Linked DNA regions of Canis lupus familiaris. The protein of the gene in region 2 purifies or fractionates together with the protein of the main gene of each other region. This does not show direct contact. Links are inferred from orthologs where the notes say so. Each region holds a gene or a part of one and is shown on either strand. Other genes may lie near its edges.

Region 1 (4,348 bases), on a different chromosome or scaffold from region 2:
AGCAATAAAAAAAGCACTTTATGTCCAAAGCAACTCAATGAAAAGAAAGGTAAATTTTGATAAAAAGTTCAACAGATTTTTTTTTCTCAAAAGCTAAGCTGAAAATAATTCATTAATTGAAGAAAAATGAACTTCACAGCTTCCTGTTACATGGCAATTTTATTTTTAACCAAGCTTATAGAATTCATACTATAAAATACTACTGAATATCAGGAAATATTAAAATATGCTTACTAATAGGGAAAAACTTCCAAGAGTTTGTTTTTATGAAAAGCTCATTTTAGGGCATCTTTCCTTATAAGTTAATTTATAAAACTAAAACTCCACATATTTTTGCATCACAAGGAAAAAGGACTAGATTAATACAACTAGAGTATCAATGAACTTGATCGGTAAAGAAACTCAAGGAGCACGTAGAGAAGCTTTCCTTAAGTTTTCTCAGGCTAGGAGGACTAAGTGAAAAAACCAAAAGAGCGCACTGCAAGAACAGATCTTGGTTTTATTTGCCTCTGCCTTTCCATTAGCATTTAGGCTTGGACAGACAATTCGGTTAACTTCCCAAGTTTTAGCGTCTTCCTCCGTGTCAAGTGCACTTAGATTCTTGACTTTTAAAACACCAAAATTCTACAATATCTACAAAGTTGGGAAGGACAAAAACAGCTCTGGTTTTACTTTTCAAGACAAAATAACGGCAGAAAAAAAAAAAAAAAACCCGAAATTATTTGTACTTGCAATGTAGTATTTCCAGAACTGAATCACTAAATTTTTGAAGCATATCCAGCTAGGATTGCATCAGTGAAGCTCTAGATGCAGTATTCACAATGTAACTCCCTCCTCTCCCATTATTCCTCCACCTGCTCCTCCCCATCCTGCTTATTCTTTCTTCCGCTTGTTTTAGTGCCAGCAAACGGTTTTAAGCATTGAAAGCTTAAGATGAAATCATTTTAAAAGATGCATTTCGAATCAACGATCATCTGCACCACCACATTTCTCCCAAATAGGGTGGGATTTCACTAAGAGAATGAAAGTATGAATAAACAAAATCAGGAATAGAAATGTACCAGGCCTGGTTTTTTTTGTTGTTGTTGTTTTGACTGCTTAAAAAAAAAAAAAAAAAAAAAAAAAAAGAACCGGAAAGATGTAGCCCAATCTATTCCCTCAGGAACGTGTAAGCGTTACCCACCCAATGAAAAAACAATTCTGCTGGTTCATTTCCCTGCTACAGAACAGCCTCGTCGTCGGGCCCTTCCTAAGGACGATCTTCGTCGCTATCCAGTAATTTCATACGGCTCGCCTTGGCAGTGCTTGGACAGGCGCTGTACCTGTCTTCCAGGGCCTTCCATCCTTCAAGCAAACACCTAAAGCTCTACTAAAACACCACCCTCCCTCCCTCCCAGCCCCCCGTCCCCCCCGCCCCCAGCCCCGGCGGTTCTCTTAACTTAGGACACAAATCCCACGTCTTCCCGCCTAGTGTCAGGCACGAAACCAAGGGAAGCATACCCAAACCCCACATTTGAATCTTCGGACAATGAAGCCGACAGGAAGCCGCTCTCTCCTCCCCTGGGTTTACTACGGAGCCGGAGCCTGCGCGGGTGCAGTCGCCTGGCACAGTGCGTGACACCACGTCTTCCACGCCCTCCAACCGCGTCCAGAGGGCGCCCGGCCTGACCTCCCCCAAGCCACCCCACATCCGCAAACCAACCTCACAAAAAGGCCCGGCACGGTTAGCTGCTCCGACCCGGGTGGGAAAAAAAAAAAAAAAAAAAAAATCCGTTCCCCAGCGCCAGCGCAGCCATTCCGTCCAATGCTCCGCCCGCACCCCCTCGCGAGCTGCTACAGCGCAGGGGGGAGGGCTGCACAAAGCCGAGAGAGGGCTGAAAAGGATTCAAGAAGTCCTCGGGAAGGGGCAGCGAGGAGGGGGCGGGGGAGGGGCGCGGGCCGAGTGGGGGAGGGGAGGGGAGCGGAGGCCCCGACGAGCCCCGGCTGGGGGGCGGGGGGGGGGGGGCCGCGCGGAGCCGCCGGGAAGCGCCCCCTCCGCCGCCCGGCCCGGCACTCCCGGCCAAGGCAGGCCGCGCCCTGAGCCCCCGCTGCAAACCCCGGAGGATGTGGGGAAGCGGCGGCGGCGGCGGCGGCGAACCCGACCGAGCAGCTGAGCGCATCACTTACCCCTCACCGCTGAGAGAGGGACCGGACGGGGGAGGCGGGGCGCGTCGCGTCCCGTGAGTCTCTCGCACGCCGTCCTGCCCCCACCCCGTCGTCGTCGTCGCCGCTGTCGTCGTCGCCGCCGCCGCCGCGGTCGAGCTCCCGGCCCTGTGCTCCGCTGGGCAATAACGTTATTCCACACACGCCCCGCACATAGCGGTAACGGCAAAGAGCGGCCGCCCAGTGCGCAGGCGCCTGAGGAATGGGCGAGGAGCCGGGCCCTATCCCCTCCGCCGGCCCAGTCCCAACGATCTCCAACTGCGCAGGCGCCAGACGCAGACAATGAAAAGGGGCTGTGCGGAGGGTCTCACCCAAAGGCTTCTCCAGCTGCCTATTGCGCAGGCGTGCTCCAAAGACCCGCTTGAACAATAAAGAGGGCTCTGGCGCTAGTCGGGACCGCAACTAAAGCGGACTACGCTTCCCAGAGGGCAGCGCGCCAAATGCAAGCGGACGTTGGGTTGCTGGGCATGCTAGGATTTGTAGTGTAGGACGCCTTCACAGTTAGGCTGTTCGGTAGATTTCAACCTTCTTGAGGATGTATTTGGCCGTTTTGGCAAATGTCGCGGCTGGCAGGTGGAGAGCTTGTTATTTGTGTTCTTGAGAAGACCCAAGGACCAACCGAAAACTAGCAAACTTGGAAAAGAGTCAAGGCCTCCGTCAGTTGGGTGGTCCAAACCGCAGGGCGGGATAAAGGCAGGACTCAGCCAGCCTGGGCTAGAGAAAGAGGGCGGAGCCTCCGAGCAGTCTCTTGGCAACCGGATCTGGCCGCCAAACCGCCAAAGCTTTTAGCGCGATGTCCTCCGGGAATTGTAGTACAGTCGGAGGGGTAGTTTAGGAGCCTCCTGACTGCAGGCCAGCAGTCTGCGAACTACAATTCCCGACGTCCACCAAGAGGGCCACTGGGTGGGAAGCGCCCCCTGCGAGCTCGGTCCGGGGTTCCCTGCTCCCCCAGTGACAGCAGCGGCCGGAAGCAGGCGGGTGCTGCTCCGGCGCCAAGGCCTCTTGCTCCCCGAGGGGCGACACTGGACACTTCCCTACGTAACTCCCATCCCTGGGCCCCGAGTCTGTGCATGGCGAAGTCCCCGGAGAACTCTACCCTGGAGGAGATTCTGGGGAAGTATCAACGGAGTCTCCGGGGTGAGTTGCGCCGAACCTCTGCGTGGGCGGGGGCTGCCCAGGTGCGTTTCCTCACACCCCGCTTCAGCCCCCGCCAGGACACAGAGGAAGAAGATGGATGGTGCTGTGAACCTTGAGGAAAGATGAAGTAGTTTGTGTTTGTCTTTACGGTTAAGCAGTGTTGTTTCCCTTGATTCCCATAGTGACCTACCTGAACCGCCTCCCCGAGCGAGCTCGACTGAAGCATCTTTGTCACCCGAGGCCCGCAGAAACTCGTGGGTGGCTCTCCCCCACTCCTGCCCACTTCCTGGCCAGTAAACTCCTGACTCACGCTTTTTACACATTCGGATTGTGGTGTAGTGGGCTGAATGTGACCTAGCGGACCAGGAGAAAGAAAATACTAATTATTTTAATCACAGCAGCTTCAACTTAGCGGTCTGAGCTATTTACATACATCAAGATAAGCTAAAACTTACAGCAACGTTATGAATATCCCTCTTTGACACGTGGGGAAATCAAGGTGCAAAGATGTTAAGTTAGGCCAGAGTCCGCACAGCTGGTTGGTGGCACAGCCGGGTATTCAGGGCTGACAGCCTTAAAAGCCTATTTTTTTTTTTCTTTTTAAAAAATTAAAAAAAAAAATTTTTTTCTTTATTAATCATGTCGCAATTATTATTACCGAAACCTTATTTAGTTAATTCACATTTTCTTAATATGGCTCCTTATGAGTGAGACTTTATAGAAGTGATGGTCGTACTTATAGATCTGTCATCTTGGACATCATATATGCCATCTGGAAACCTCAGTCTTGTTATTTTTAAATAGGAAGTTATGTCAGCTACAGGGTTATTATGAGGAGCAAATGAAATAATCCATGTAAAGCTTTCCAACCTTTTTTTTTTTTTTTTTTTTTTTGCTGTTACCCATTGGTAAGAAATACATTTTATATGGGACGTATACATGTAAAAATTTCACTGAAGAATATTGTACTAAATAAAATACACTCTATTCTTTTGCATTTTCTTAGCCC
Region 2 (4,122 bases):
ATGTAAAATAGATGTCAGATGATGATAGGAGCAAGAGAGAAAAATAAAGCAGGGAAGAAGATTGGGAGTATAGGGGAAGGAGAGGCCTCACTGAGAAGGCGGCCTCTGAGTACATTTCTAAGTATTTTATATGGATTAAAGATTTGAAATCCCACAACCCAAGGAAGAAGGCACAACTGTCATCACTCCACAGGTGTGGGGATTTTGAGGCGAGGTCATTGAGCCTCAAAATCCCCACACCTGTGGAATGGCAAGGTTGGGATACAAACCCAGCTAGTCTCTGGCTCCAAAGCCAGTACCCTTGGGCCCTGAAGGAGAGACACAGCAGTGAGCAAGAGTGGACACCATCTGTTCCCTCAGCAAATTCATAGTCTAGAGGTTCAACAAGTAAAGAAACAAATGAATAGTCACACTTAAAATTTTAAATTCTCTAAGCAAAGTAATTTAAATGAACAAGTCACTATCATGGTTGATTGAAACTGTTTAGAATATGAACTATTAGAATTGTATTTTCATATTTTGAATATACTAGTTTCAAATTATTATTATTTTTTTTAAATTTAAAGATTGTATTTATTCATGAGAGACACACACACACACAGAGAGAGAGAGAGAGAGAGAGAGGCAGAGACACAGGCAGAGGGAGAAACAGGCTCCACACAGGGAGCCCGATATGGGACCCGACCCCAGGACCCCAGGATCACGCCCTGGGCCGAAGGCAGGCGCCAAACTGCTGAGCCACCCAGGGATCCCCTAGTTTCAAATTATTATAAAGCAAAACATTCTCAAGCAAGTCCTTGGCTTTAGAAATGAGAGGCAAACATAGGATAATAATAACTAGCTCTTCTTGAGCATTTACCAGGAGCCAGGCACTGTTTAAATACCTGTACTGACTTATGCTCACAATAACCCTGCGGTCATTATCATCATCATCATCATCTCCATCTTACAGATGAGGCTATAAAGGGGCCCAGAGAGGTAACCCACCCAGGAAGGAGCAGCAGCAGGACTCTATTCCAAACAATCAAACAATGGCACTCACATTGTTTTTCTATCTGTCAACCAGCATTACTGGGCATTAATATAATATAATGGTCATTTTTAGAGTACATCTTTTGTAAGCCAGATGGACTCTGTGCCACCAAACAAGAATAAATAAATGACACCAATTATCCAAGTTACACAATCAAAGCAGTAGTAGCTACCACTAATAAGAGTACTTGCAATGTGCCAGGTATTGTTCTAATGCTTAAGATACGTGAGTTCACTTAATCCTCACAAATACCCTGCAAGGGAATATTTATATTATTATCATCATTTGACAGATGAGGAAACTGAGGCACAGAAAAGTTCATAACAAGAACAGAATTAAGGTTTAAGCCCAGGCAGTCTGGGTCCAGAGGCCGCTTAACCACGTTGCTGTCTCTCTGAAATCCCCATTGCTATTCCTTTATGTTACACACAGTTTAGAGTACTTTCAGGAACATACAAGAGAAATGCTATGAAGTACAGCATGCTAGGTAAGAGATTAAAGTAGGTGTCTATCTTAGGTGGGGGGGTTCAAAAAGGCGGCTCAGGCTAGGGATATTCAGGCTGAGATTTGAGGAATGAGGACCCAGCCAGGTGGACTGCAGCAAAAAAGCCCAAAAGACTCAGCAAACACTTGGGAGGAGGTAAAGAGCTTGGGGAGCCTCGGGAAAACAGCTGGCTAATGTGACCTAACACTGATAAAAAGAGAGGACAACGGAGGTACAGCCAGAGAGGTGGGGAGGGGCCACTTGCCTAGCTAGGCCTTGCAGCCAGGAATGGGTGATATAATCAGAGTGCAGCAGGACGCCAGGTGGCAGAAACAAGATCCACCAGGATCTACCGTGTTTCCACCCTCTATCTGGCCTCTGCCAAGAGCAGGTCATGGTCACGATTTCATCTCTGCTCCCTGCAACTCCGTGGCATGATTACTGTCAACTTCTCTTTTATAAAAATAGACTTTGTAGCTCGGAGAGCTGGAGAACCATTTTCTTAAATCGCTGGTGTGCTAAGAGAATTCCTTGTACCTACTCTAAAATCGTCTTTGATTTTCTATCTAAGGACGTCGGGGACTATTCTGTATGTCAACCCCCACTTCGGAAGCGCTGCTGAGGTTTTACATTTACTCACACAGTGTCCGTAACCTGGGGTGGCAACATGCGCCAAGAATTCCACGTCGGTAAGGGTGGAAGGAAGGAAAGGGCGGGCAGGTGGGGCGAGAAGGTGGAATGAGCTGAGGGACAGACGAGGTGGGTAGCGCTCGGGACTGCACACTGACTGGTGGGGACCCTAAAGATCCAGCGTAGGGCGGGGTCAACAAAAATGAAGGGCCAGAGAGACATCTAACGGTGACTGAAGGGAGAGGCAGGAAGGAGGGCGAGGGTGATCAGAACTAAAATACCCTCCGAGGGAAGGGAGAGCTGGGACGGGTCTGAAGGGCAGTGCCTGAGGGAGAGGAGACGGGAGGGTGGGAGGGGCCTGCGAGACGCCGCGGGCCAGACCGGAGTCCGAGGGGCCGAGCCGAGGGCTGAGGCGGGGCCGGCGATCCGGGGGCGGGGCCGGGGGCGGCCGCCGAACCCCGGGACTGGGGTGGGCAGGGCAAACAGCTCCTCACCCGGTTCTGCACCGTGTCCTCCGGCGCCGTCGAGAGTCGTGTCCGCCGCCGGAGACAGAGCGGCGGGGCGGGGGGCGGAGAGCACTGGCCCCTCCGCGCCGGAACCCCCGCCGCGCCGGACGGCAGCTTCTCCACTGCATCGTTGCGCGCGTAGCCTCCGGGCCCCAAGGCCGCCATCGACGCGCCGGAGCCGGGCAACCGTTAGGCTCCTCAACCGCTGCCGCCGCCGCCGCCGCCGCCGCCGCCTCCACGACCCACTGGAAGAGCAAACGGCCGCGGGAAAGCCGGCGCCGCCGCCCATTGGACGCGGCAGGCCCGGGTCTGGCCAATGTCAGGGCTGCCGGGAGGCGGTTTTGACCAATGAGGGCCGAGAGGCGGAGCGAAGCCTACGGCCGGGTGGAACCGGAGCTCCTCTACTTGATGCCTGATCAAGGAAGTGGCGTTTTTAACGCGGTCTGTTTTCACCATTAACAAGCATTTAGGTGTTAACTTTTTACGTAGCGAAGATCAAAGCCTCCAGTTCGCTTTTTGCCGCACTCCCCACCCCCAGCAACTACCCACGCAGTGGCTGGCAGTCGCCCGGATGTAAGATGGGGTGGAGTCCAAAGAGACCGACCACTCGGCGCATGCTCAGAAAAGCCGCGACCCCCCCCTCTCTCCCCCAACACGTGGTAAGGTCCGGATGCCTAAGAACTGGCTTTGCGCCGACGTCCTCGCGCTTCCCCGCTCGCCACGTGACCAGGGCGTAACTGTGGTAACGCGGCTGGGCGCGTAGTGCGCAGGCGCTCTCTTCCCTCCCCTGCACGTGATGAGGCATCAAGGGCCATCACGTGAGGTAGGCGGAGAGCGGGCAGGGTGGGGTTCGGCGGCGCCCGGCGAGGATCAAAGTGCGGCTGCAGACTGGGCAGGACTCAACGGGGTGGAACAGCCATGCCCAAGTACTGCCGGGCTCCGAACTGCTCCAACACTGCGGGCCGACTGGGCGCTGACAACCGCCCCGTGAGCTTCTACAAGTGAGCGCAAGCGCGGGGCGGGGCTCGGGGGGCGGGGCTGGGGGCGGAGCCCGAGGGTAACTGCAGCTGTGCCCGCGCGCCTGGTCCAGCTTGCAGGTGTCTGGAAGCAGGGCTAGCAAAGTGAAGAGACGGTGTTCTCAGCCCTAAACACAGCACGCGCAGAGGTGCAGACGTGTTAAAACGCAGGGGTGGAAGATAAACTACAGATAGTGAAAGCAGCGAGCATGAGAAGTGGGACTGTGTAGGGGAAGGACCCTAAAACTGCCCACTTGTTATCTCCACGAATTTATCTCAAATGCAAAACATCCAAAATTGAGCTCCTGATCTTGTCTCTCTCCCAAACTTTCCACAGCCTTTCCTATTTCAGTTAAGAGCTCGCTCCATCTTTCCTGTTGTTCAGGCAGGAAATCTTAAGAGTCATACCTACCTCTTTTCTTTCCTCACATTGGGGAAAGTAAAAATGAGCTT
Region 3 (2,815 bases), on a different chromosome or scaffold from region 2:
CTTAATAGATTTATGTAATGAGGGAAAGTTGTATTTAGATATTGTATTTTAAAAACCTAGGGCACCTAACATTTAACAGACTGTTTTCAGGATAGAATTTGTTAAGAATTTTAGTCTGCATTGACTAATAAGAATTCCTTTTCTCTGGATCAACTGAAACATGCTGGCTGGCAAGGGGGAGCTGGCATTTACAACAAGTGATACAGTAAGAACACCTGGTTTTCCTTGCTTAATCTGTATCAATAGAGATGGCTTACTGGCAATCAAACATAAAATATGAGAAACCTCTGAAAGCATGTCAGTTGTTAAAGTGCAACAGTGAAATAATCTATCCTAGGGAAAATAAAGCTGATTAACTGCCGAACTAATATAAACTAAGAACACACTCATGCTCAAATTTCCACTAAAATTGCAAATCCAATTGTTTCTATAACTCGAGGTGTAACATTCTCAAAACTCTAATTTGCTTATTAATAAAATTAACACACCATGTTGTATGAGTAGAAGAGGGATTGATAAAAAGGTTGATAACTTCAAGAGGCTAGAACTCACAACTGGAAACCATCAAAAACAAACTTGCTATTTCAAAGCATACAAAAAGGCTAATGTATTTTAATCCTAAATATTGCACATTAACAATAACCTAAAATACCTAACTCAAAAGGCATTTTGCACTAAATATATGAAGAACATGCCAAGCGAACTCTCAGACACTGCATATTGAGATGTACCAGTTCTTGCTCCTGTTGGTCATTAATTCCCATGGACTTTCTGCCTAGAATCTTGTCACTTACTTACATATGCATTTCCCACTTCATTACATGAAATCCTTCTTGTTCCAAAAATAACAAAAAATGTCTGGGGGCAATACAGAGAATGTATTTCAGAGATAGAGACCTCAATGGCATTTACTTAAGAAAAATTTGTTGTGGAGAAAGAATTCTGCAGGTATAAAATGTAAACAGTTAACATACACTTGATAGGAGCAGCACCATTCTTACACTACTCAACATCCACATTGCATGTTTTATTGAAAATTAGGTATAAAAAAACAAAGACTCAGACTAAATAACCACTACTTATGCCTGCTCTGCTCAATGTGAAGAAACAGTCCTTAGAAAATGATATCCTATATATGGCTGTGTGCTACTATTTTCAGATGAACGGTATATTGCTCATTTGATACATCACCTACAGAAATTGAAGTAGGCTTTGGAACCTCCCAACAGCTAGTATAAATATGATTATGCTACAGTTAGAATCAAATGGCCAGAAACACCTTGAGAACTGGTGCTCCCCTGACTGACACTGTGATAGGAAACCAGAAAGGTCCAAGGGCCTGAGGCTGCAGGAAAGGGAAAGACCAGACTCTAGACCACTGCTGGGACCTACAGCCTGAGTAGATTAACTCTGTGTACAAAAACAGGCTCATAGCTAGTAGAAGTGAACCATCTGTTTATTTGCATTGAAATGTATTATTCATGAAGTATCCTCTTGACTTTATGTAATCATAAGCTTTGAGCATGCCACAAATTTGTAAAAATACCATATTCTTTTTACTTTACTTTTGTTGTGTGGGGTTGGGGAATAGGAGGGTGGGGGTAGACGCCCATCATCTTCAAAGACATGCTCTAAGTTATTCTGCCATTTAGATGATGGGACTTTCGCCAAAGAACAATTGTAGGATGCCTACCAACTGTTATAATTAAATTAGGATTGGCAAGTAGCAAATATTGGAGGTTTTTTAACACGTTCATCATTTACAGTAGTTATTCCTGAATACAACTGGCTACAGGTTATTTTCCCTCACTCCTCTGGGGTTATTTCATTGATAAGCACATAACCCTGAAGGATAGCATCATGAACAAAACATTTAAAATAAAATTCTAATTAAAAAAACTATAAAATCTTAAATAATTCATGATATAGGCAAGTCACCACATAATAGTTGCTTAAACAAAATCTTAGAAATTCAGTAAAAAAAAAAAAAATCAGCAGCATAAGATAAAGCAAATATGCAAAAATTTTAAACCATGATAAAATAATTAGGTTTACATTATACAGTTAATTACAGCAAAAATACAATACAGTTTTGTTGCTGTTTTAAAACACAACTTAAGTTTTAAATTACATCACTTGAAATTAAAAAAAATAAACTACTTTACTACAAAATGAATTCTACATTTTTGAAAAATCACTCAAAAATAAGACCACTGAATTGTTTTCAAAGTAGTTCTATCAATGACTAAATGACTCCCCATCCCCCCACCCCCCAAAGGCCCAAGTAGTCATCTACAGCAGCCCAGAGGTCCAGCTGATGCTTCTAAACTGCTGTCTGTATCTGAGGCCAAAGTTGGATCTGTTGACATTGAAGACACATCATTGACAGATGATGACGACGATGGATGCTGAGAGCCATTGATCACTGCTGCACCTGTGCTATGAGAAACAAAACAGCAAATCAGTTGCAGACAGAGTTGCATGCCGAGCTGCCTATACTGTATTGGCTACCTCTAGTGATCAATAATTTTTTTCTCTTGGCTTTGAAAAGGCTCATTAGATTGTGTATGAATAATACTGATAAAACATGCAAAACTGTCTGTACTGCATTTTGTTGGAGAGAGGATCTCAAAGGGATATATGGCCCAAAAGGTTAAAAGACTACTGCCCTAATAAAAATTACTTATCTTTTCACTGTAAACTCCAAACAATATCCTGGCACATCTTTTTTAAAAAAGATTTTAAAACATAAAACATAAAAGTACAAGAAGATTATTTCCTTTACTGGAAGTAAGTTAGCTATAGCTAACAAGCA

Evidence for each region.
Region 1: the proteins of WDR62 (region 2) and CEP170 purify together in Homo sapiens (affinity purification with mass spectrometry; 3 studies listed by BioGRID and IntAct, with this or other methods). This does not show direct contact. The link is inferred for Canis lupus familiaris from reciprocal best matches to the Homo sapiens genes WDR62 and CEP170.
Region 3: the proteins of WDR62 (region 2) and MAPK8 purify together in Homo sapiens (affinity purification with mass spectrometry; 5 studies listed by BioGRID and IntAct, counting the BioPlex papers as one, with this or other methods). This does not show direct contact. The link is inferred for Canis lupus familiaris from reciprocal best matches to the Homo sapiens genes WDR62 and MAPK8.

Annotation. Positions count from the first base shown.
Region 1 is NC_049228.1:34,338,621-34,342,968, forward strand, and holds the start of CEP170 (centrosomal protein of 170 kDa), read right to left. Parts: upstream 2,920-4,348; 5' UTR 2,167-2,919; intron 1,626-2,166; exon of another isoform or gene 1,501-1,625; intron 1,332-1,500; exon of another isoform or gene 1,184-1,331; intron 1-1,183. Other genes in the region: SDCCAG8 (serologically defined colon cancer antigen 8), read left to right, coding at 3,273-3,339.
Region 2 is NC_049222.1:117,484,660-117,488,781, forward strand, and holds the start of WDR62 (WD repeat-containing protein 62), read right to left. Parts: upstream 2,834-4,122; 5' UTR 2,819-2,833; coding exon 2,642-2,818; intron 1-2,641. Other genes in the region: THAP8 (THAP domain-containing protein 8), read left to right, coding at 3,572-3,654. UniProt on the Homo sapiens protein: Required for cerebral cortical development. Plays a role in neuronal proliferation and migration.
Region 3 is NC_049249.1:547,690-550,504, reverse strand, and holds part of MAPK8 (mitogen-activated protein kinase 8), read right to left. Parts: intron 2,440-2,815; coding exon of another isoform or gene 2,435-2,439; coding exon 2,289-2,434; 3' UTR 1-2,288. UniProt on the Homo sapiens protein: Serine/threonine-protein kinase involved in various processes such as cell proliferation, differentiation, migration, transformation and programmed cell death.